4 linked regions of the Drosophila melanogaster genome follow. The protein of the gene in region 4 interacts with the protein of the main gene of each other region in a pairwise test. Each region holds a gene or a part of one and is shown on either strand. Other genes may lie near its edges.

What was found.
Region 1: the proteins of HHEX (region 4) and Osi6 interact in a two-hybrid assay, tested with the Drosophila melanogaster proteins (one large-scale study listed by BioGRID).
Region 2: the proteins of HHEX (region 4) and Rab3 interact in a two-hybrid assay, tested with the Drosophila melanogaster proteins (one large-scale study listed by BioGRID).
Region 3: the proteins of HHEX (region 4) and yin interact in a two-hybrid assay, tested with the Drosophila melanogaster proteins (one large-scale study listed by BioGRID).

What each region holds. Positions count from the first base shown.
Region 1 is NT_033777.3:6,233,185-6,237,718, reverse strand, and holds Osi6 (osiris 6), read right to left. Parts: upstream 3,012-4,534; 5' UTR 2,984-3,011; coding exon 2,765-2,983; intron 2,137-2,764; coding exon 1,417-2,136; 3' UTR 538-1,416; downstream 1-537.
Region 2 is NT_033778.4:10,726,187-10,730,740, forward strand, and holds the start of Rab3 (Rab3), read right to left. Parts: upstream 3,018-4,554; 5' UTR 2,419-3,017; intron 1,087-2,418; exon of another isoform or gene 874-1,086; coding exon of another isoform or gene 1-873. Other genes in the region: CAH13 (carbonic anhydrase 13), read left to right, coding at 1-873; Daao1 (D-amino acid oxidase 1), read right to left, coding at 3,453-4,002, 4,072-4,217, 4,299-4,422, 4,488-4,554. UniProt on the Drosophila melanogaster protein: Involved in exocytosis by regulating a late step in synaptic vesicle fusion. Could play a role in neurotransmitter release by regulating membrane flow in the nerve terminal.
Region 3 is NC_004354.4:3,868,912-3,873,848, reverse strand, and holds the start of yin (yin), read left to right. Parts: upstream 1-1,909; 5' UTR 1,910-1,978; intron 1,979-3,304; exon of another isoform or gene 3,305-3,531; intron 3,532-3,622; exon of another isoform or gene 3,623-3,896; intron 3,897-4,030; exon of another isoform or gene 4,031-4,034; 5' UTR 4,035-4,084; coding exon 4,085-4,190; exon of another isoform or gene 4,191-4,246; coding exon 4,247-4,332; exon of another isoform or gene 4,333-4,350; intron 4,351-4,669; exon of another isoform or gene 4,670-4,876; intron 4,877-4,937. UniProt on the Drosophila melanogaster protein: Important role in absorption of dietary peptides. High-affinity transporter of alanylalanine. Dipeptide transport activity is proton dependent.
Region 4 is NT_033777.3:21,076,353-21,082,937, forward strand, and holds HHEX (hematopoietically expressed homeobox), read right to left. Parts: upstream 4,575-6,585; 5' UTR 4,332-4,574; coding exon 3,842-4,331; intron 1,044-3,841; coding exon 562-1,043; 3' UTR 510-561; downstream 1-509. Other genes in the region: dmrt93B (doublesex-Mab related 93B), read left to right, coding at 246-446.

The sequences.
Region 1 (4,534 bases), about 15 Mb from region 4:
GAGAAGAGTCCACGATTGGGCCCGAAATGAAGTTGTAAACTGCGGTAGAAGCAGAACCAAGCAGTTGTGTGCTGAGCAAGCAAATCAAACAACGAAACGCCAACCAACCGGCCCCAATGATCATAGAAAAGTGCTTTTAAGCCATTCGGCGACACATTAATTGCTGACGTATTTGTGCACGAAGAAAGCCAATAGGCAGTCAATGTGCACAGCATCCATGAGCCAGCCCCCAAAGTGGGTCATATTCATAAGTAAAGCACCTATCGGCCCATCAGCCATCAGCGGCTGTAAAGTGCCGTTCTGCCAACCGGCAACTGCAGTTCAGTTCAGTTCATTTCAGTTCAGTTACTTAGGCTCAATTGAGCCGGGCCCATTTCGACGGCGTTTACAACTTTCTTTGGGCCAAAAGGTGCTAAGCGTCGCCTAACAATGGGGCTCCGTCAGGTGGAGAAATATTAAAATACAATACGATGGTGCCCCGCCTTGAATGAACCGAAATGCGCGTAGCTAAATGTTTGTTTTATTTTTCAGCAAATTGCCTTTGTTCATATGTGCCTTTGTTCACAGTGAAAATGGAGTTTACCAGAAGCAGAAGAGTGGAAGTGAAATAAGTGGGTGAAATTTAGAAACCCCATAAAGAGTTCGATTTTTGGAGGCTGATAGCAGGAAGAATGAGGCGGGTAAAAGTGAAATGAAAGTTGCGCCATCCACGTGCAAATGCTTTGCTAGACAACGCGGCGTATGAGTGATGCTGTCGAGGGCTGTGATGGCGAGTTGCGTATGCAAACCGAAATGAAAATTGTGTGGTGATGAGAAAAGAGAGTCGTGTTGGTAAAGTATTTTTTATGTTTGAATTATTATTTGATTCTTTGATTTAGCAGCATTCGGTTGGTCTTTCCCGGGCGGTAAAGTGAGAAAGTCCAGATAGTCAGACAGATATGGATAGACAGATAGGTAGATAGATTAAGGTAGAGGTACAGATAGAGATAGTCGTAGAACAGAGATAGATGGAAACAGATGAGAGATAGATACAGTTAGATGGGCGAGGCGACTGGCTTTGACTGATGGATCGACTAGTCGCAAAGATTTGCAGTCCATTTATCAAAGGTGCAGCCATGAAATTGAGATACAGCGTGAAGAGTGAGGAGTGCGGAAAGTAGTAAAGATTCCTTTGTGGAGGTTATTGGCGGTTCTGGATGAAAGGTGGTGTTTGGTGTTTGGGTGTGTCTTGTTATTAAGTGATTGTTTTTTTGTCTAATGGAAGGCACTTTGTTCGTCTCGTACTTCTCGTTCAAGTAATAAATTAAAATAAATAATTTATAAATAAATATAAATATAGGTCATCATTTTTAGCGATTGTTTCTCTCTCTCTCCTTGGCCTTCGTCCTTCGGTTAATTTGGCTCTTGACCAATTGTTTACCGGCGGGCCTGCTTGTATCCCTGGTAGGCGATGGTCTGGGCCACAGGCGAGCTGTAGGCACCATGGGTGTCCCAACCCGAGCTGCCGCCAGAGGACCATCCGGCGCTGGAGGCACCACCACCCGAGGACCATCCACCGGTGCTGGCAGCCGACGATCCACCGGCGTTCTTGCCGCCGAAGAGACCTCCCAGACCGCCGAGCAGACCGCCGCCGCCTCCGGATCCACCGATGCGTCCCAGTCCGCTGGAAGCACCAGCAGCCAGAGCCAGGAAGAAGGCGATAACAGACACAACCAGTGCCTTCTTGGCCAGGAACAGTAGTCCGAAGATGGAGCCGACTCCAAGGACGGCGATCTTAGCACCAACTCCCAGCAGGATGGGCAGGAACTTCTTCAGCAGCTTCTTCTTGCGGGTACGGGACTCAACAACCAGCTCGCGGAGATCAGCCTTGATGTCATCGGGAATGGCGCGGGCCACGCTGCGAGCGGCGTTAGCGAAGTTGAAGTTCAGGGAGCGTTCAGCGAAGAAGCTCTTGGCGTTGTCCATGAAGTAGTTGCCCATCTCGGCGGTGCGGGCCTCCACGGTGGGAGCGGCCTCAACAGCCAGGGAGTTGTCCAGGGACTTGCCCTGACGACCTTCATTGGACTTCACCAGAGAAACACCACCGAAAAGCTCGATCTGAGGGTTATCGAACACGGACTTGGCCTTGCGGAAGAGCTGTGGAGGAGGTAGTGGGGTTTCGAATTAGAGCGAACTGTAATAAACTGTGATCTAAAGTCTAAAATATTGGTCATTGAGGATATGTTTGATTGATTGTTATAATTATATGACTTCATGTGTATGTAAATAAGTGGCTAAGGAAGAATTTAGTTGTGAGTGAAATTTAAAATAATTTCTTAGTTTGCAAGTAAGGGAAAATTTGTTGTTATCAACTGTTTTTAGATTTTAGAATTTTAGAATAGAATTTCGATGATATATTTTTAGCTCGGAAATATAAAAGAGATGTGCTTAGAGCAGCTGGCAAGTCTAAAAAACACTTTTAAGTGGTAATGTTGTTTTCACATCTTCCTGTCAGGTGTCAATTGTGTTTGGCAAACTACACACTCTTTTCAAAATTGATTATTGCGAAATAGTTGCAGCTTGACAGGAAGCTGTAAAGAAACTGTTTTTCACTTTCACTTCAATAGTATCCTTTAGATCACATGGGACAACACGTAATCGGTGATCTATTGATTTTTTGGTTTCACTTTCACTGTTAAGCATCTTTGCAATTGTTCTCGATTGTGCTTTGATCTTTCGTTTTGTAATAGGGGTATATAATCCTTAGGGCCTAGATAATCCGTACCGTGAGCTGCAGGCACGAGATGGAGTCGGACTCGAGGCACTGGGCAAAGGCGCCGGGCTGCTCCTCAGCGGCCTTGACGGGATCGGCAGAGATACCTGCTGCCAGGAGCAGGATGCAGGCGGTGGCAACGAAGAACTTCATGCTGGTGGCTGGGTTGGTGGATTGGTGATTTCTGAGACTGAATTCCTTTGGCACCACCGAAATCACTGGTGTGTTCATTCGAATGGAACAAGCTGCGGTTTGATAACTTTTCGCCGCTGTCAGGCTGTTTTTAAAGAGTTTCCAACGTAGCGGTCGCCTCGGCAGCGGCATAACGTAAAATTATGTAAAAAGCGCCGGTGCCCACACATACAGCTAGGGTCTCCGTCGCCGAAGAGCCTGAGCCCTCTTCCACACGTGTCTGCGTGCTCTTTCTGGCATTTTGACTCTGCGAAGACGGCAGCTGCCCTCTCTTTCTGACCGCAGCGCTGCCTCTCTTTCTCAGCAGCCTCCGAGCTTAGAAGCCGCATTAGGCAAGCGCAGGCAGAGCTTTGTCTGCTTCCGCATTAAAGAAAGTCGCTGCGCATGAGCATGCGAAGACGAGTCTTCTTCGTCTTCGGTCGACGTCAGCGCAGGCAGCAGGGCTGTTGAATGTGAGAGCACGAGAAAGTTTCCATCGGAGAGCCAAAGCCAAGGTTGTTCGTCTTCTCTCCCCCACACACTCATACACATGCGCGCATCACACACACACACAGCGAAGAGACCCCTGAAGACGCATCTTCCCGCAGAGTCTTCTGCCCATCTCCTCGAACAAACGCACGCAGACAAAGAGGTGTAGTTTCTTCTGGAGCCTCACAGATTACAACACATGAAGTGATAAACAGGTGCTGCGCAGGTTAACCCTCCACACACCCCGACTCTTAACCCGTGGATGCCGGGCCAGCCCCCCCCCCCTCCGCCATAATATGTGTCATATATTCTTCTGGATTTTGTTAATTTTTTGAACGCTTTTGTTTTTTGGGCACTTTGCCGCAAGAAATGAAAGTTGTCTGTATAATATTTTCATACTACTGTTATTTCTGGCCCTTGGTCTGTATGTCATCTCCGTTTAATACCCCCCGTCGACCCGGTATCACCGAAAATAGTTATGTTTACCGCATGTGCGCGTCTTGAAATTACTTTTTATTTTCGTGACTTTATTGTGGTTCTGTTTTTATTGCGCAACATAAAGTGTGATATATAATGACAGTTATTTAACCAGGACAGGGTCTGGAAACAGGATATCTGGGAGCCGGGATCTAGGGCCAGATAGGCACGTCCTACTCGGGACTTTTCCTTCGGGCAGTTCGAGTACTCAGGTGAAAACACCTCTGCGGGCATAATCATAAGGAACGGCCTGACTCGGCAATTGTGACACATTAGTCAACAATTTGAGCTTAGCAAAAGTGCAAATAACAGCTCGCTTCAATTGCTCAAGTGAAATGAAAGAGAAATTACACGAAAAGCAAACAAAAACGGATGCGCACAAGACGCCAGATACCCACAGATGATGGACTACTGCACTTGGCGAAATCATCACATAGTTGCTGTATTTTAGCGAAATTTACTTGATTTGTTTTATCAAGCTGTCAAAAATAAGTAAATTGATGGAATTACAGTAAGTTCTGATAAGCTTTTAATAGCATATTAAATTGGCATTATACAGTAAAGATGACACAAACTTATTCTGCGTCCGCGACGCTAGAATCTGCAATCAATGATCCAATGATCCTTTACTATACATAATTAAAA
Region 2 (4,554 bases), on a different chromosome or scaffold from region 4:
CCGTTCCTGGATCCCCTGGTGCAGAATTTGCGATTGGTTCAGAAGCCTGGAAAGCGTGTCCAGATTTCTCCATTTCCCATATCCTACTTGATGTATCAATTTCGATCTGGATTCTATTCCTACGGCGGTTCGCTGACCCATCCGCCCTGTTACCAGGGCACCGAATGGTTCATCTTTCCCGAATCCCTAGCCATTAGCGACTTTCAGCTGCGTCACTTTCGTTTGCTCCTAGGTCCGGATGGGATCTCGCCCATAGCCCGTAACAGCCGACCAGTCCAGCACATGGGCAATCGAGTTGTAAGCCTAAACTGCTTCTGCCCATACGATGCCGCCCAGTTGTCCAGAATGCATGTGGAGCTATGCCAGGCTCAAGCTCAGGAGGAGCACGAAGAGGAACGTATCGAGCAGGAGCAGCAATTGGAACTAGAGCGCGAACTGGAGCGGCAAAGGGAAAGCGACTTGAAAGCTCAGCAGGAGCAAGCAAGCGAGGCGGCCATCGCTGCTTCCGAGGATGAAGGTCAGCTAATTGAGACCATAGATACCACGACCATAATAACTAGTAGCAGCAACACTAGCATATGCATGACTACGCTGATGCGGAAGGATTCGCCTAGGCAACTGGAACAGCCATCTCAGATGCCTATGATGGCTCCCAATCAGGGTAACTTTTGCAATCCTGGCATTGTGATATTCAGCGGTGTCAATGAATCCAAGTCCAAGTGCGGCATCCATCAGGATACACCGGAGGAGCTAATGATCCATAACAGAGGAACGGGAAGAAACATGGGTGTACAGAATGGCTGCAAGGCCGATGCCTTTTGCGGCGTGGGCGATGGCGTCAACATCGGAATTCGCATGGAGCTGGTCGAGTAGCTAATGTGCTATTATCAACCTTTATGTCATCCATAGACACTCCATTTGTGGTCCATGCTGCACGAAGAACCGGTGGGGCTAGATGGTGCACATGAAACACCGGTCAAGGCCAACTGGTGGCCAACCGGAGTTCTCTCTGTGCCCGGAAGTGATTGAATCGCGTGCGTGTGGATTAAACAAGTTGCGTTTATATTTTCTAAAGCATAACCCCCCAATTCCCTTGACTTTTAATCCTTGGAGTAGGCGGGAGGGGTTGGCTTTAGCGGCCTGACTTGGGAAAGGACCCACTTGATTATCCCTGTCACGTCACTGGGAAAACTCAAAGCGAATTTCAGAGCTGAACGGCGGGTTGGTGGGCTGGTGGGCTGGTGCGGCCTTGAAAACTTTCAGCCTTGGCTTGGGCAAGTGACAACAGTCTCGGCTTACAGTTTGCCATTCGGGATGGTTGGCTGCCTGTTTTCCATATGCAATGAAGGCGGCGACATTGTGTCGATAATTTGTGTATATAGCCTGGTTCTCCTGGTTCCGTTTCCGCTCATCCTTATTTCCCCCGTCCAGAATCAGAAGTTGCGCAGCGGCAAAACGCTGTCAGATTGCTGATGAACGACTTGGTGTAGAAGGACCGAGTGCGCGCGTCATCGTCAAGGATTTTGCTGGCAAAAGGACAGGCTTCGCTCCTGTCAAGCCTCTTCAGGCCCAGAAATATCCTGGAGGGGCCCGAACCCAAACCCAAACCCAAACCCAAACGCAGACACCAAAGAGGGGCCGCAATAAGAGGTCTTCAACGGCAGACGGCCCTTATCACAGGCGCTGTGTGGAAATGTTTTTATCTGCTCGACTGCGTGTAATTATCGATTTTTCTGTTGTTTTCCCCCTGCGTGGGGGTGGCTGCCAGACCCTGCCCCCATTACCCACCCCCTTAACTGCTCTTTCATGTTTCAAATTTCCAATGATTTGGCAGCTGTTCAGCGGTCGGCAGCTGCGGGCTTGTTTAATTATTGATAAGAAACCCAATATTGGCCAAAACGAGAACTCAATCCTGCCTTAACGGTTCCAATTGGAAAAGTTTCAATTTAAGGTTTGTTGTCAAACGTAAATATTAGGCATGTGCATAAATACCGAGTTATCAATCAATGGGAATAAACAATTAACTCTTTCCTGGAAGTTGTAAAACTACATATGTATTATTTGGCCACATTCATATGTATGTATAGCCCATATCTATTGTCAATAAGATATGATACACTAAGCTGAAATCCATCAGAAGTTTTTTTGGAACTACTATAAAAGTAACATTGAGTTATTAAATACCTTTTAAATACTTTTAAAAAGTTGATGTGTAATCTTTATAATGTCAAAATCAATGAAGTTTAATGTAAAAATAATAAATTCCAACCAACGGCCTCATTATTTGACAATATGGAACTGATACTGCAAAGTTTTTGATGCGAAAACTCAGGTATTTTGGTTTTAGCTGGAACTAGTACCCCCATTCACCCATTTTGGTCCATCATGGCGGATACTTAATGTGTCAGATAAACTTACTCTTTCTTGAGGTTATTGCGGTTACAGTAGTATCTGCTGCTAATATCTCAGTTGCTGTTTATGATGGTGCTGCTGCAGATCCTGCTGTCACAAGAATATCCTGCTGTTTTCGATGTGTGGGTGAGAGGTACGCCGTGTTGTTGCTCGCACATACACACAAATCGATAATGGCAGCTCCTTTCGCTGAAGGGATAAGGAAAAGGACTCGACTCAGCCTTGGCACTGGACTGACATACGCCGCGATTTCACGTCGATTGATTCGTCGAGTTGTTTACGGTTACCCAATCAACTATTCACACGCCCGCGGACCCACTCGTCTGGCCAGAATTGAACTGACTCCGGCTGCAGTGGCTCAATTATTCAGCAAATGCAACGCACCAACTGTTCTACCTTTTTGCCTCGACACGTCGACACCAAAGGACACACAATTTTCAATTTTTTCTTCGCTCTCAGGCGGCGAATTGACTGGTGCGGCGAAAACGGGCCAGTTTTGTATACGTTTTCATAATTCAACTGTTTCAACCTGGCTGACTGGCTGGCTAACTGACTGACTGGATGACTGGCTGCTGCCCACACAATTTCCCTGCTGCTTTTCCTGCTGCTGAAAATCGATGGGTTTCCGTGCCTGGGGTGTCTGTGTGTGGGCGTAGCTTTCGCGGCGATTTCGGGCGAGCTTTCCATTCATGCGCCGGTCATGCGCACTTCGCACTTCCGCAGCCTTGTGGAGCACTGGCCCAGGGGTTCATTTGAATTTATTCGTGGGCGCGAATTTATTCGTTCACTTTGTGAACCCATGTTCTTATCCTGAAACAATATAGACCAAGGAACTCATAAAAACAGTAAATAAAATTTATAAGAATTGTTTCTTTAAATATTCTAAATATTCCTTCTTGAAACCTTTGGAACTGGCGCATATCGCAACCTTGAGAACTGCAATTAGTTTATTGCACAATAAAAAATCCAAATCAAATCTGGGTTCAAAGATTCTGAGTATAAAGAGTTTAATGACCAACAATTAACAACGATTTTACCACCTACAGTTTACTGTTTCCCGCTAGTAGATCGCGTACCAATCGAACTGCGTACATAGCCGTTCCAGGAGCCGTGGTCACACCGTAGCCGCCGTGGCCGTAGTTGTGGACTACCTTCAGCCGCCTGCCTTCCGGATTCGTGATCAGTTCTGGCTCCACCCGAACGACGGAGCGGTGTGGCCGCAGACCAACACATTCCCGCACGATCTCCGCTTTCCGGAGACTGGGCAGCAAATCGTAGCAACGCTCTCGAATGGCCATGCTATCGTATTTGCACCACTCGGTGTTGTAGCTGTCGAATTGGCGACATCCTCCCAGGGTCACAGTCTCAAATCCGGGAAGAACGTAGGTGTCGTAATCGCCGTAGAAAGCCGTCTTTACCCAGGGAGCACGCACTTTGAGCACTTGACCCCGAATGGGAACCAAGTGCTGGTCCCCACACAACTCCTTGGCTCCCATTCCGGTGCAGTTAAGGAGCAAGTCAATGTTCTGCGGCACTTCGAAAAAGCTGTTCACATGCTGACGGACAACCTCTCCTCCGTTCTCCAGGAATCTACAATATGTTAATATTTACGATTATTTTCAAATTGTTTCTCTTTCATATCATAAAACAGCTACTCACTTTTTAGTGGCATAGGGCAAGAAGAGGCGGCTTTCCGTTAGGCATGTGGTGAAGAAGGATCCGTACTTCCAGCCGCCGTTGCATAGCCTCAGTTCCTCCTCGGTGGCTCTTCGGTAGACGGGCAATAGTTTCTCAATAAAGTGGTTCTAAGGCAGCCAACAACAAAGTTAATCGAATTAAGCCGATGAAGATAAGAATCACTGATTGTCGACTGCCCGGCAACGTACCCGTACGATGGAGGGGGAGGTGCGGGAGTAAATATAGCCGGATAATTGGCACACGCCCGCCAGAGGAGCCTCCTTGGAGCGACGCAGCTCATCCCAGTAGTTGAAGGCATCGGTCATCCATTGTCTACGATGAAAAGAAAAGTCGTTAGATGCACAACAGGTGTGTTTGAATCCCAAACAGATTCTCACTGCGTAATTTTCTGGGTGGGGCCCATAAAGCTGGTTCCAGGTCGGAAAATTCCAGCCGCCACATAGC
Region 3 (4,937 bases), on a different chromosome or scaffold from region 4:
CCGGCGTCTGACATTGAAATGCAGGCGCACACAGTTGTACAAATTGGAAAATTTGCATCGGTGTAGGCAAGTCGAGTTATTTATTTTTTGAGATTTGAATAGGCAAGTATATAGGCAAGGTTGGTCCGTGCCAATTGACCAAGTTTGGCAGCTCTTTTTTGGGGACCGTCGAAAGTAAATCCACATTTGGACCTGCTCGTTGCTTGTGTTGGAGCCGCTCAAGTGGCTAAAACCCGGGGCCAGTCACTCAAAGTCCCTTATCAGAGCGATTAGATTTGCAAACTGCACACGCGGCCAAGAGAACCGATTATCGTAGTTGCGAACCTGGAGTTCTGAAAATCGTTCGTCCGTTGAGTCATAACTGGCAAGTGGAGATGTATTCCGCCAATTCTTATAACTTGCACGTTACCCAACGGCCACTGATTAAAACTGAAGGGTGAGGAGTATCGAAGTAAATAGGTGCAATAAACTAAATAAGAACACTATTGCAATCTATGGTGAGGTGTATTTTGTGTGGCTTATATAGCATGTCTAGAAATCGAAACAATGAGTAAAACTCGAGCCTCACAAAAATATGGGCCATAAATCTCGGTTCAGTAGTCTGTATAATCGCCACCCCTCTGTAAAAACTATAATTATGCATCTGTGGTTATTTTTAGTAATTAACAATACCATTTTTTTTATCCGTCATGTTGGGAACCCGGAGATCGCTTCACATCCGTTACGCGTCACTTGAAATCGAAGAAAAATATTAAATTTACTTTAAAAATCATTACGTTGTAGGAATGTGCATATGTATAAGATGCATAAACTCAACTTTCTTTTAATTTAACGAAAAATATATGCACATATATGTATATTACGTGTAAATTTTGTTTATTTTTTTCCAATAAGAGACAAAAGAGACAATAAAAGCAAAAAAGTACTGATCCTCGTCTGGAGTTCAATAAGCCCACAAATTGGCTATATTTAAGGGAAATTTCCAATTGCCACTGCGAAATAATTAATTAAACCAACAATATCGCAAATATATCTCATTCAGATTATTAATAGTTTTAATTGATTTTCTGTGTTGCAAATTGATTTTCAAACTGTATAAAAAAAGGAAGCTCTTTCTCTGGTAACTTTATCCTATTTTGCTGCATTGGCCTTTAAAAGGATTTTATTGTTTCGTAAGATCTTTTCATAATATAGACATCAGTGTTTTGATATTGCTTTTATTGTCTCTGGCGAAGCTTTCGGATCGTTATTGCTTTTATTGTTCCATTGCATTCGCGCACTCGTAACTCACATTAAAACATTTAACAACTGCAAAAAAAAAAAAATTGGAACGCACGTCGTTTCGGATGGGATCGGTTTTGAATCGGTTATGAATCGAGCAGGATTGAGCGACCACGTCCGCAAGCGGCGATCAACAGCCTCAGACTGAAGTCGACTGTGAACGAACTTAGCTAAGAAGCCGTTGACGGTTTCGCCGCTCGCCGCTTTGTCGCTTTGCCGCACTGCTCTGCCCGCTGCGACTGCGCGCTTGCTCGACGTCGAAGGATGGCGAAAGGCGTTAGAACGAGCGAGTAGTGGTGATAAGCCTAATCGCAATGTTATCGTATCGACAGGCAAGTGGAAGTATTTACGGCCCGGTGTTCGCTTACCCACAATGAATGGAGCCGCAGCTCGCAGCTCTCGCGATTGTTATTTATGGCCCACAACTACCCACCGGAATATCTGCTTGACATTTCACCCTTCCCCGCCCTTGGCCGCCTGTCAATTTACAGATCGCTGTCCATCACAATTGCTCCGCTTATCACACCTGCCACGCCCCGTCTGTCATCAGTCAGTGGGTGGGTGGTTGCTGTGTTGTGTATAGTGGGCGATGCAGATTGCGCACCATCATTAACTAAATATTTTCATCGCACCAAACGGTTATCTCTGGCCATTACTTGCACGTCTGAGGGATGGGAGCTTCCCAACTTTACCCACCGTAAGTCATGAATCGAAAAGTAGTTTAGTATATGGTCTAAAGATAATTATTTAAAGAGCTACTACGTCTATACGCTGATAAAAAAAAATCAACGCCAAAATAGAAGAGATAATGATGGCCAAGGAAATTTGTAGGGTAAGGAGATCGAGTCAGAATCTTCAATGGCTTGAACTGTGTGTTAATCGGGCAATTAATCATTATTAAATAGCCAAATGTCTTGCTGATATTGGTCGAAAAGTAACTAATCAGCCATTTAATTTTTAAGAAAGTACCCAAACAATTTTTAGAGCAACGCGTCCAGTGTTTAATACTAATGACTTGCATATTAACAAGCTACATGACTTTCTTTTTCAACGCTTTTCCGTGGGCAAACAAAGTTCATACGTATGTACATAACTTAAGACCGAAATGATTGGCAGTATTTTGGCAGCAATACAATAAATTAATTTAAGCTCCTTAAAATGATAGTAATAGGAAAATAAACTATTACAAATCTATTAAGTAGTTTTATGGCCGATAAAGTTATCACATCGGTAATAAGTTTTTGCGAAATAAACAGGCATTTCAAAAGACGTACGTACTTCATATCAGATTAGTCATAAGTATAAGTCATTCAAACGGTGGATAGGTTAATAAATACAACAATTATTTTTAATATTAAAAAGAAAACACCCTAAACTGGGCACGAACTACCAAATTATAGCGAAAAGATCACTTTTAAATGTCGAATTTTTGTCAAAAGTTATAATTCAGATTTCCGCCACCTTAAGAACAGTACTTTAAAAACAACATGGGAAATAGTTGGCCTTATTTGAAATACAATATCTCGTTGAACTCGTAATGAAATTTCTAATCCATAGGCATTCAAGGCCGGAAACTTTCGAAATTTGTAGATTTTCGCTGATCTTCATTATGTAACCCCTTATGAAGAAATGAGAAAATTTGAGGATACTTTACTGCGACGCCTTAAATAGGAAATCCATAATGTAACCTATACCATCTAACCCCGTTTGGCTCACCGCTTTTGATAGGCATCTAATCGGAGGTGGTCACAAAACTTTGTGGCATTTTTGTTTTATGAACTTAATCGCTGCGTCGATAGCTGCGAATAGTATTTATGGCCGCCTATCATTAATGCCATGCCCAGAAACAAGTATAATACATCTATTGGCCATAGCCAATCGGCCGATCTGCGATAGTCCGTAGCACGACATTGTTATTGTTATTGTTATTGTTAACCATTATTGCTCAACGAGAGGCCCTGACTGTGCGACAAGTGAACTTTTTGTTTTGCTTCTTGCTTTCGATTTTACGATTGTCACTTACTTGGCTACAGATTGCATGGTGTCTAGTCTTCATAATGCCAGCTATGCGATCGATTGAGTAACACTTAATTAAAGCCATCAAGGCATTGGGGGTCTGTGTGTCGATTGAGCGGGTTGCGTGTTGACACACTCAGACATCGAGTACTCGTATCCCCGGCCAGCTATTATGCATCCCGTATCCATGGATTGTGATGGCGTTGTATCTGGGCGAGAAACTCTTCGCTCAGCCTGGGGATTACAGTTAAGACCTTATCAATTAGCAAACTGGTGGTCAAGCGGCGATAGGGTATCTTCGATTAAATCGCACCTACCAACCTACCTAATAGGTGGGCCAATCGCACAACTCGGCACGCGGCTTACCGAATCGCACTTTGTGCCGATTAAGTAATCGGCCTGAAAAGGCGAAGCGAAAGCGAGATATAGACGATGTCCTTGCCTAAGATAGCCAGATAGTCAGATAGCCAATCGTACTCGTTTCTTAGGGCAGTGCTTCAAGGGGCTCCGATCTTCAGATATGGGTACTTATAGATCTCAAGATCTCGAAGGTCCGGAGTCCGATATCAATGATGATAGGCGATGAAGTGTTTGCCCAACTGATTAGATTTGTACATGAAAGATATAAAGACGTCATGTCAATTTCAAAATTACAATTATATTAAATATTATATTATAATACTATAAAGATCCCCCATAATTATTTATAATCTAAATAAATAATTTGTTATACTTAGGGTAATTGTCCGTTGCCTTAGCTGTCAGATATCCAGGCTACAGCTCAAGCATGCTTCATAGACAGCGGAATCCCGAATTCTCTAGCACAGCCACATCCATATCCAGCTCGAGCTTCGAATCCAGTCACCTGATGAGCAGCTCTGAATTCAGTCGCGGTAAGTGCATCACCAGTTTTCCAAAGACCACCCACATATATATGGACTTTCTGCAGCTTGGCACTTTGCCCGCTTTCGTGATAGGGATGATCGATTCCAGCACATCCACTTCGCCGAAGATGACCGCAACGGTTTCGAAACGGTGAGTCTGAGTGCTGGACTAAAATATAGTGCGAAATTGACAACCTTTCAGGCACATGTATCTATATATTTCCGGAACTGTGCAATCTTGTGGTATAGCGCGGCGTTTTCGTGAAAAACCTAAGCAATCTCGACGCGAAACAATAGCTAATGCGGACCATAAATATTTACAGCTGGATAGATTTATGGCTGCCTGGGAAAGTCCAACAAATTACTCAAAGCCGTAAAGAAAACAAACATAGATAACAGGCACTTGGCACTCGACCATTTTGCACGGCCGGGGGTTTAATCGCCAGATAGGGGATAGGAATATGATCGAGATAAGATCGATTCCGTACCTGCCAGCTCATTGGCACAGCTTAAAGAAAAGCGAGGGGATAACCACAAGATTCAGCGCAGATAACACAAGATAACGTTAAATCGCAAATAGGATATGGGTTTCTAGAACTATATTCTCTCTTTAAGAACGCCAAACGACAAACAGTTGCCACAACAATGGCTACAAGCTGGAATACTGTGGGTGCACGATAGGGATGCACATTCCACAAGCCTTCTGAAACAACAGGAAACACTGCTCGCACAAATTAGAAGGAATACAGCTGCTCC
Region 4 (6,585 bases):
GTGCAAATTGTATAAAGTACCTTTTAGTTATAAGTGTACTTAAGTGAATATACCGGTTATTTCTATAGTATTATATTCTATAGTATACAGCAAATCTGTAACAGGTGTTTTGTGTTTTTACTTAAGTTCAACGGTCTGTATTTCCGCTTCCAGAATTCAATCAAGTCACGATTTGCGTGGTCCATGGAAGTAGGAAGTACCTAATGAAATATTTATTTAAGTACATACAAAATCTTACCTTTCAGTACCAGAGCAAATCGGTGGTGGAGCTAAAGCCGCCGGTCTTTGGAGGCAGTGCATCAGCGGCGGCGGCAGCGGCCATTTGTGCGTACCCCAAGTGGTTTGTGCCGCTATCCTTTCCGGTGACCATGGGTCACCTCTCCAATCTGGCGCCAAGATGCACCTTGCCCAATTGCGCCTGCTTGGACAGCTACCAGTTCCACTAGGAGACCACCCATCTAGTACTTACTAACTCGCATAACTATAGTTCTAATAAAATAAATTTATTTATCCTAACTACAAGCTAAACTAACTTATGAGTCAATGGGCCATCCTCTAGCTTCACTTGGGCGTCTCATCCGCCTCGCCTTCGTCTTCGTCGTCGTCCTCATCGTCCTCGGACAGATACATCCGATCCTCCTCGTCGCTTTGTTGGCCACACCTGCTTCCGCTGCCAAGATTCAACACGGGAACACTGCTGCTCGAGGCGCTGGAGGGTGATCCCACGGCAGCGCCTGCTATGGGTCCTTGGGCGGATGCACTGCGCTTGCTGAGATTGGCTCGTCGCCACTTGGCGCGCCGGTTCTGAAACCAGGTCTTCACCTGGCGGTCGGTCAGCTTGAGTTGGAGGGCCAGATGACGCCGTTCCTCCGGCGACAGGTACTTGGAGCTGGCGAAGCGAGCCTCGAGATTTTTGGTCTGCTGGGAGGTGAATCTGATCTGGCCGCCTTTTCGCTTCACGCCGAAGTTCGACATGTAGAAGCTGGCCGCCGGATAGGCATTGCAGTAGAGGGCGGCTGCAGCGGAGGCAGGATTGGGGAATCCTATGGATTAAAAAGGAAGACAGTTTGTTTTAGATTACAATTGCTGAAGAGGTTACAGAACTAACTTATTGTTAACACTTCACTTTGTGAACAAGGGTTTCCTATATCAGATGAGAAATATTTAAACTAAATATTTCATTGTTAATACGATCTTAATTAAAGAACTAATGACATTATAGACCCACTTCAGAGTTTATCAAAAGCTGCCATGAAAAAGTCGAGGACAATCGATTTCTTTGAATAACGATTTTGAACCATCTGCCCGATATAAAGTGGCGCAATCATTGGATTGTGATTGGTGGCTCCATTGGCCCGGTTTTCCCTATCTCCGCCCACCCGCTCTTATCAAAGTAATCGGACACAACAATTGCGAGTGGTACAAGTGTATGGGTGTTGTATCAGTATCGGAGAATATGTCAACGCCCACTTGTAACTGGATGACGACTTGCGAATGGTGGCCATTGCGAAATGGATCGACTGTACGCCGAGATTTCGTAGCAATTGGGCGAAATCAATTGGCACCCGAACGGCAATCCGATTGCGAACCTATCTGCACCTATGTACATACACCTATGTGATAAGGAAGGTGGCCTCTTTTTTTTTTTTTAGTTAAGGTAACGGAAATTCGCACTTGGCGCATATTTGGAGTGTGCTCCATCGCTGAACTAAGCTGATATTTGGGGACCCAGTTACCTCATTGGTGAGGCGATCTGGCCAAGAACCCTTGGAAATGGCCAAATGCCATTAAATAAATAACATCCGATTGCAGATGCCATAATTTAAATCGTTACAAATAGACTTATTCATGTTTATTTTTATTAAGTGGCGTATTCGGGAGTGATAAGGCCGCAGAGCACCCTTATCTTCTTCCCAGCGGCATTTAATCGCTGAAAATTGGATTTGTTATTATTTTATAATGTGCGTGTCCGATTGAAGGAATAATATCATATCAGGTACTTGTCGCCAACACCACCACACCCGCCTCCGCCCCTAACCATTTGCCCCTTGTCCAGGTGGAACGAGTGTCGGGAACGGACGGGCTTATCGTAATCAAATGGCAATCGTGGCTATAAGATGATGGACAGCGCCTATTAATCGCCTCTAATAGCATTTTTGTTTAGATAAGCCAAACAAATCGGAAATCGGGATAGCAGTACAGTTGAAGTGCCCTATACACGACGATACTCCTATCTGCATTGTGTGATCAGTATGGCATAGAGCAAGCTAATCAATACTCCTTTTTTTTTTTTGAGGCGTAGTATGATCCTAACTCAGTTGGACTCATCATAGATATATCCTCAAGACGGGCATATTGGGAACAGAAAGGTGCACTTAGATATTCCATTCCACTATAATGTTGTATTGATTCCTTCCTATTTCACTACAATTATATCGAAAGATACTGCCTGTGATAATTGTGTGTTATCCAAAGGTTTAAATGAGTATGATTTCTCACAGTCCGTCTAATTCGCAGCAGCTCGATTTTCCCAAATCAACAGCTCAATGCCTTTCAATGAAAACTAACTGTCACTTAAATATCCATAGATATAGTTTCTGCTGTCTCTCACCTGAATTTCAAATATTTGTCACTTCTGATAAGCCACCGAAATATTTTCCGATCTGAATGGGGCATTTGTACTGCGAGGGGATGGAATTCGGGACTTTGACTTTATCAGCATTGCTAGGGCTAATCTACCGTTACACCACCGCCCAGAAAACCAACCGGGAAATGCAGTTTTTGGGGCGGGGAAAATGTGATTTCGAGTGGCATTGGCGCCAACACTTGACTTTGACAAATACCCAACTGCACCACAACACACACACATTAATCATGTTTATGGCCCATTTTGTGTGGGATCCCCATTGTAATATTCGGTGGTCCGGGCACTTCGGACTTAGGCTAGCTTAGATATTTGGTATTTAAATGGGGATTTCAGGCAACACCTTTCCCATGGCGATCAATTTCCATGTGTCAACTTGATGAGCGAGATTAAGGTGTCAGCATGGGTAGGTTCAATGACTTGAACTTGGTAGTGTCGAATCAATCCTAGTCTTTGCTAAAAACTGTGAGAAAGTCTAATAGAAACTATGGTTCCAAGCTTCATGAATAAGAATTTAAGAATAGGGATTTAACATATCATACTCTGAGAATGCTTCTGCCTTTATCTGCATTTTAGTGTTTAATTGATAATTGTAGCGCTTATTCATTCATATTCAGGTGACTCATTTCCGGTCATTTGATAGTATGATGAAATATGCTAATGAGGTCAAACGACTAAATTGTTGATAGACATCATTGGGCTAATAGATTTCTCAAAACCGCATTAATTAATATATTAGTCAATTATTTTATGAGCTTGTCAATAACTTGACCTAAGGGTTTCAACTGCGTTTGCATGTATGTATACAGCTCGAATAATTGAATAATTTTGATCTTATTCTAGAATTTTTTTTAATAAAGAAATGCTGTATTGTCTTCATTCATAATGTCGAATAAATATACTATACTTCTTGGCCTTATAACTGCTTTACAATCTTTTGAATTTGCTGAGATTAGATTGCATATAATTTAATATTTCATTTCTATACCTTTTCTATAGCTCTGTGGAAATACCATAACTTTATAATAAATTTGTAATGTCTTCTCCTCATGCACCCTTATTTTAGTGAATGATTTATCATAAATTACCACAAAAATTAAGCAATTATCTTGAAAATGAATCTTTATCTTTTAGGACATTCAACACCCAACTAAAATACATGTTAACCCCACTAAGTAGGTATTCTGAAGTACTCACCTTCGCAGTCCATGGTAAATGGACTGTATTGATCACAATAGGCTGTTGGCTGAACAGCGGCTGCGGCGGCAACAGCGGCCGCCTGGAAGTGGGGCATGAAGAGCGAGGGATTCTTCTGGAGCTGCAGCACCTGCTGGTAGAAGAGCGAGGCGGGATCCGGGTAGATGGGATTGAAGCGCAGCGAAGTGGGAGCCAGGACAGCACTGGAGTCCATACTCTTCATGGCATACTGGGCGGCAGCTGCCTCGCGGGATAGATCGTAGATGTTGGTGGCGGACGATGGAGAGGGTGTAGGCGCCGCGGAGGATGATCCAGTGGCCAAGGATGCCTTGGGCATGGCCAGTGCGTGTGGAGTAGCTATGCCTGCTGTTACCGCCACGGGACTTTGAGAGGAGCCTCTGCGCGATTGAGATCGATGCGAGGAGCTCTTCTGCTCCAAGATATTCTCAATGGAGAAGGCGGCCTTGCTGGACTTGGTGGCGATATCCATATTGGTGGATTCTGAGAGCGGTAGTAACGAACTGTAGATACCGATTGATTGGGTCCGGAGCGATCGAAGCGACTGCGTCGGCCGCAGGCGATGAACTAATGGCCACCAGCTGTAGGAGCCGTCGCAGAGCCCATGGGCGCTATAAATTGTACCAAATCTGATTTCACAGAATATAATAGATTGTACCTATAATGTTGTGCTAATGGGTAGATATCAATATTAACAATAATAGAGCGGTATGTAGATATGCCGCGCATGGGAGATAGTGCCGAGCTACCGGCCATCGATTGATAAGCGAGTGGTGGTTGGTTAGGCGCTCCACTGCCTCGATGGCACTCCACTCCACTCCACTCGATTCCTATTCCCAATACCCAATACCCATATTCCAATTTCCAATTGCAGGCGGCGACAGCTCGACATCGGTACGCGGTTGGACACCCAATCGGCGATCGTTGTATAAATCACAGTCCCTGCTCGCCCGCTTATTGAGCTGCCAACCCATCGAACCCACCACCCAACCACCCAACCACCCTCCCCCAGAACGCCTCCCACTCGGCGGGTCGGTGCGTTTGATCGAGTAATTGTTAATCACCCCTTATCGGTATCGTTACCTGGTTTCAGCTCTCAGCTACTGTTTGGCTATTTTACTCTGTTGATTGTTGTTGTAAACAAATTAAAATTGCCCCAAAAGGCACCCCCCACCCTACCCCCTACCAACACCATCAGAGAGCCATCGCTTTGATTGAGTAATCGAGTTTGTGTTATGATTTCGGCCATGGTGCCGTCCCTCTCTGCTCTTTGGGAACAATATATGCGTCTGTATACCTGGGGCATGGATAGGTGTTTCGGGGTGTCTTATCAGTTGTACTCGGGCTCCTCGTAAAGCCTCTCAGATGATGGATTACTTTTGATTTCGGCTTGGGCCGGGTGATAAAATGGAAAACGCACAGCCCATAAATGCCTTTAATTGTTGTTATTGTTACTGATAGATACCCCTTTGATGTTGTTTTTCAGGTCGCCCCAGAAATTGGTACCTTCGAGATAAGTTTTGGGCCTCGACGAGTTTCGGGAACAATGAAAATCTTTAGTTTCCGCTGGTGGAAAGGATGTTATCATGTCTTCGGTTCACACGATGAGTAGAAAGTAAAGAGTTAAAAGTTCTTCAAGTTTTGTGATTTTGCTAAATGGTGACTACTTTAAATTGGCAGGAGTTCAATCGAAACTGTATGACTTCACTACATATGACAATGACTCAAATTCATGTGATATTTGGCAATAAACCTATTTCTTTTGATATGATTCGCTGAAAAGTGATTTAATGAATTGCAAATAGAATTTTCGGGGGTTCTTCGTTGAAAAGGGGCAGTAAACTACAGTCAATCGATTGGTGATTAAAATTTTATGACATCAAAATTTTAAAAATAACTCTTTGAACATCATACATATATTATATTTTATGTTTCTGTTCGCATAATAATTGATATACCTTAATGGAAAGCACCTTGACTGAAAAAGAGATTAAAACATTTAGGAAACTAATTTATGCAAAGCCTGCTTTCCAAGATATGAAGGAAAGGAAGCCCATACAACATGCTACCGAGTGCACTTGTAATCCCCGGACATATCACTTCGACGCTTCATCATGAGCAGACACTTGTTGCTCTGCTAACTGATAGTCAGTTGTGTGATCCCCGACAAAATCCCATCGATATAACGTTTTGCACCCGAAAAACCCAACTGACGGCCATTTTGTGACATATCACAAGGTGAGTATTCAAATTTATCAACATGAATGGTTCGAATAGAGTATTCGGGGGTCTGATGGTTGGTCAGAAGGAAGCTCTCAATGGTAAGTAATGACCATTCAAAAAGTATTTTGTACTTTACAGAAACAAATTATAACATAATAATGAATAGTTAATAATGAATGGTGAATGGTGATAAAAATAAAATCGTTTTTCGGTGCTATGCGATAACTAAATGCGACCAATTCGAGACATTGACGAGGCCTACTGCTCGATAAGAAGCCATGGCCTGGGGGGCTTATGGTCGTCAAGTGAGGCTAAATTATTAGCAATTATCAGGAGACAAACGGTTTGAAATGACTTCGAAATTGGGCATAAATAATTGTGGCACGCATTAATAACAGCAAAGAAAGAACCGGCTGAATTTGTAATCCCCTCCAATGGGCATGTGTTTCGATGACAAGATGTCGATATTGTTTCCAACTTCATTTTACATTTATAACTTTATT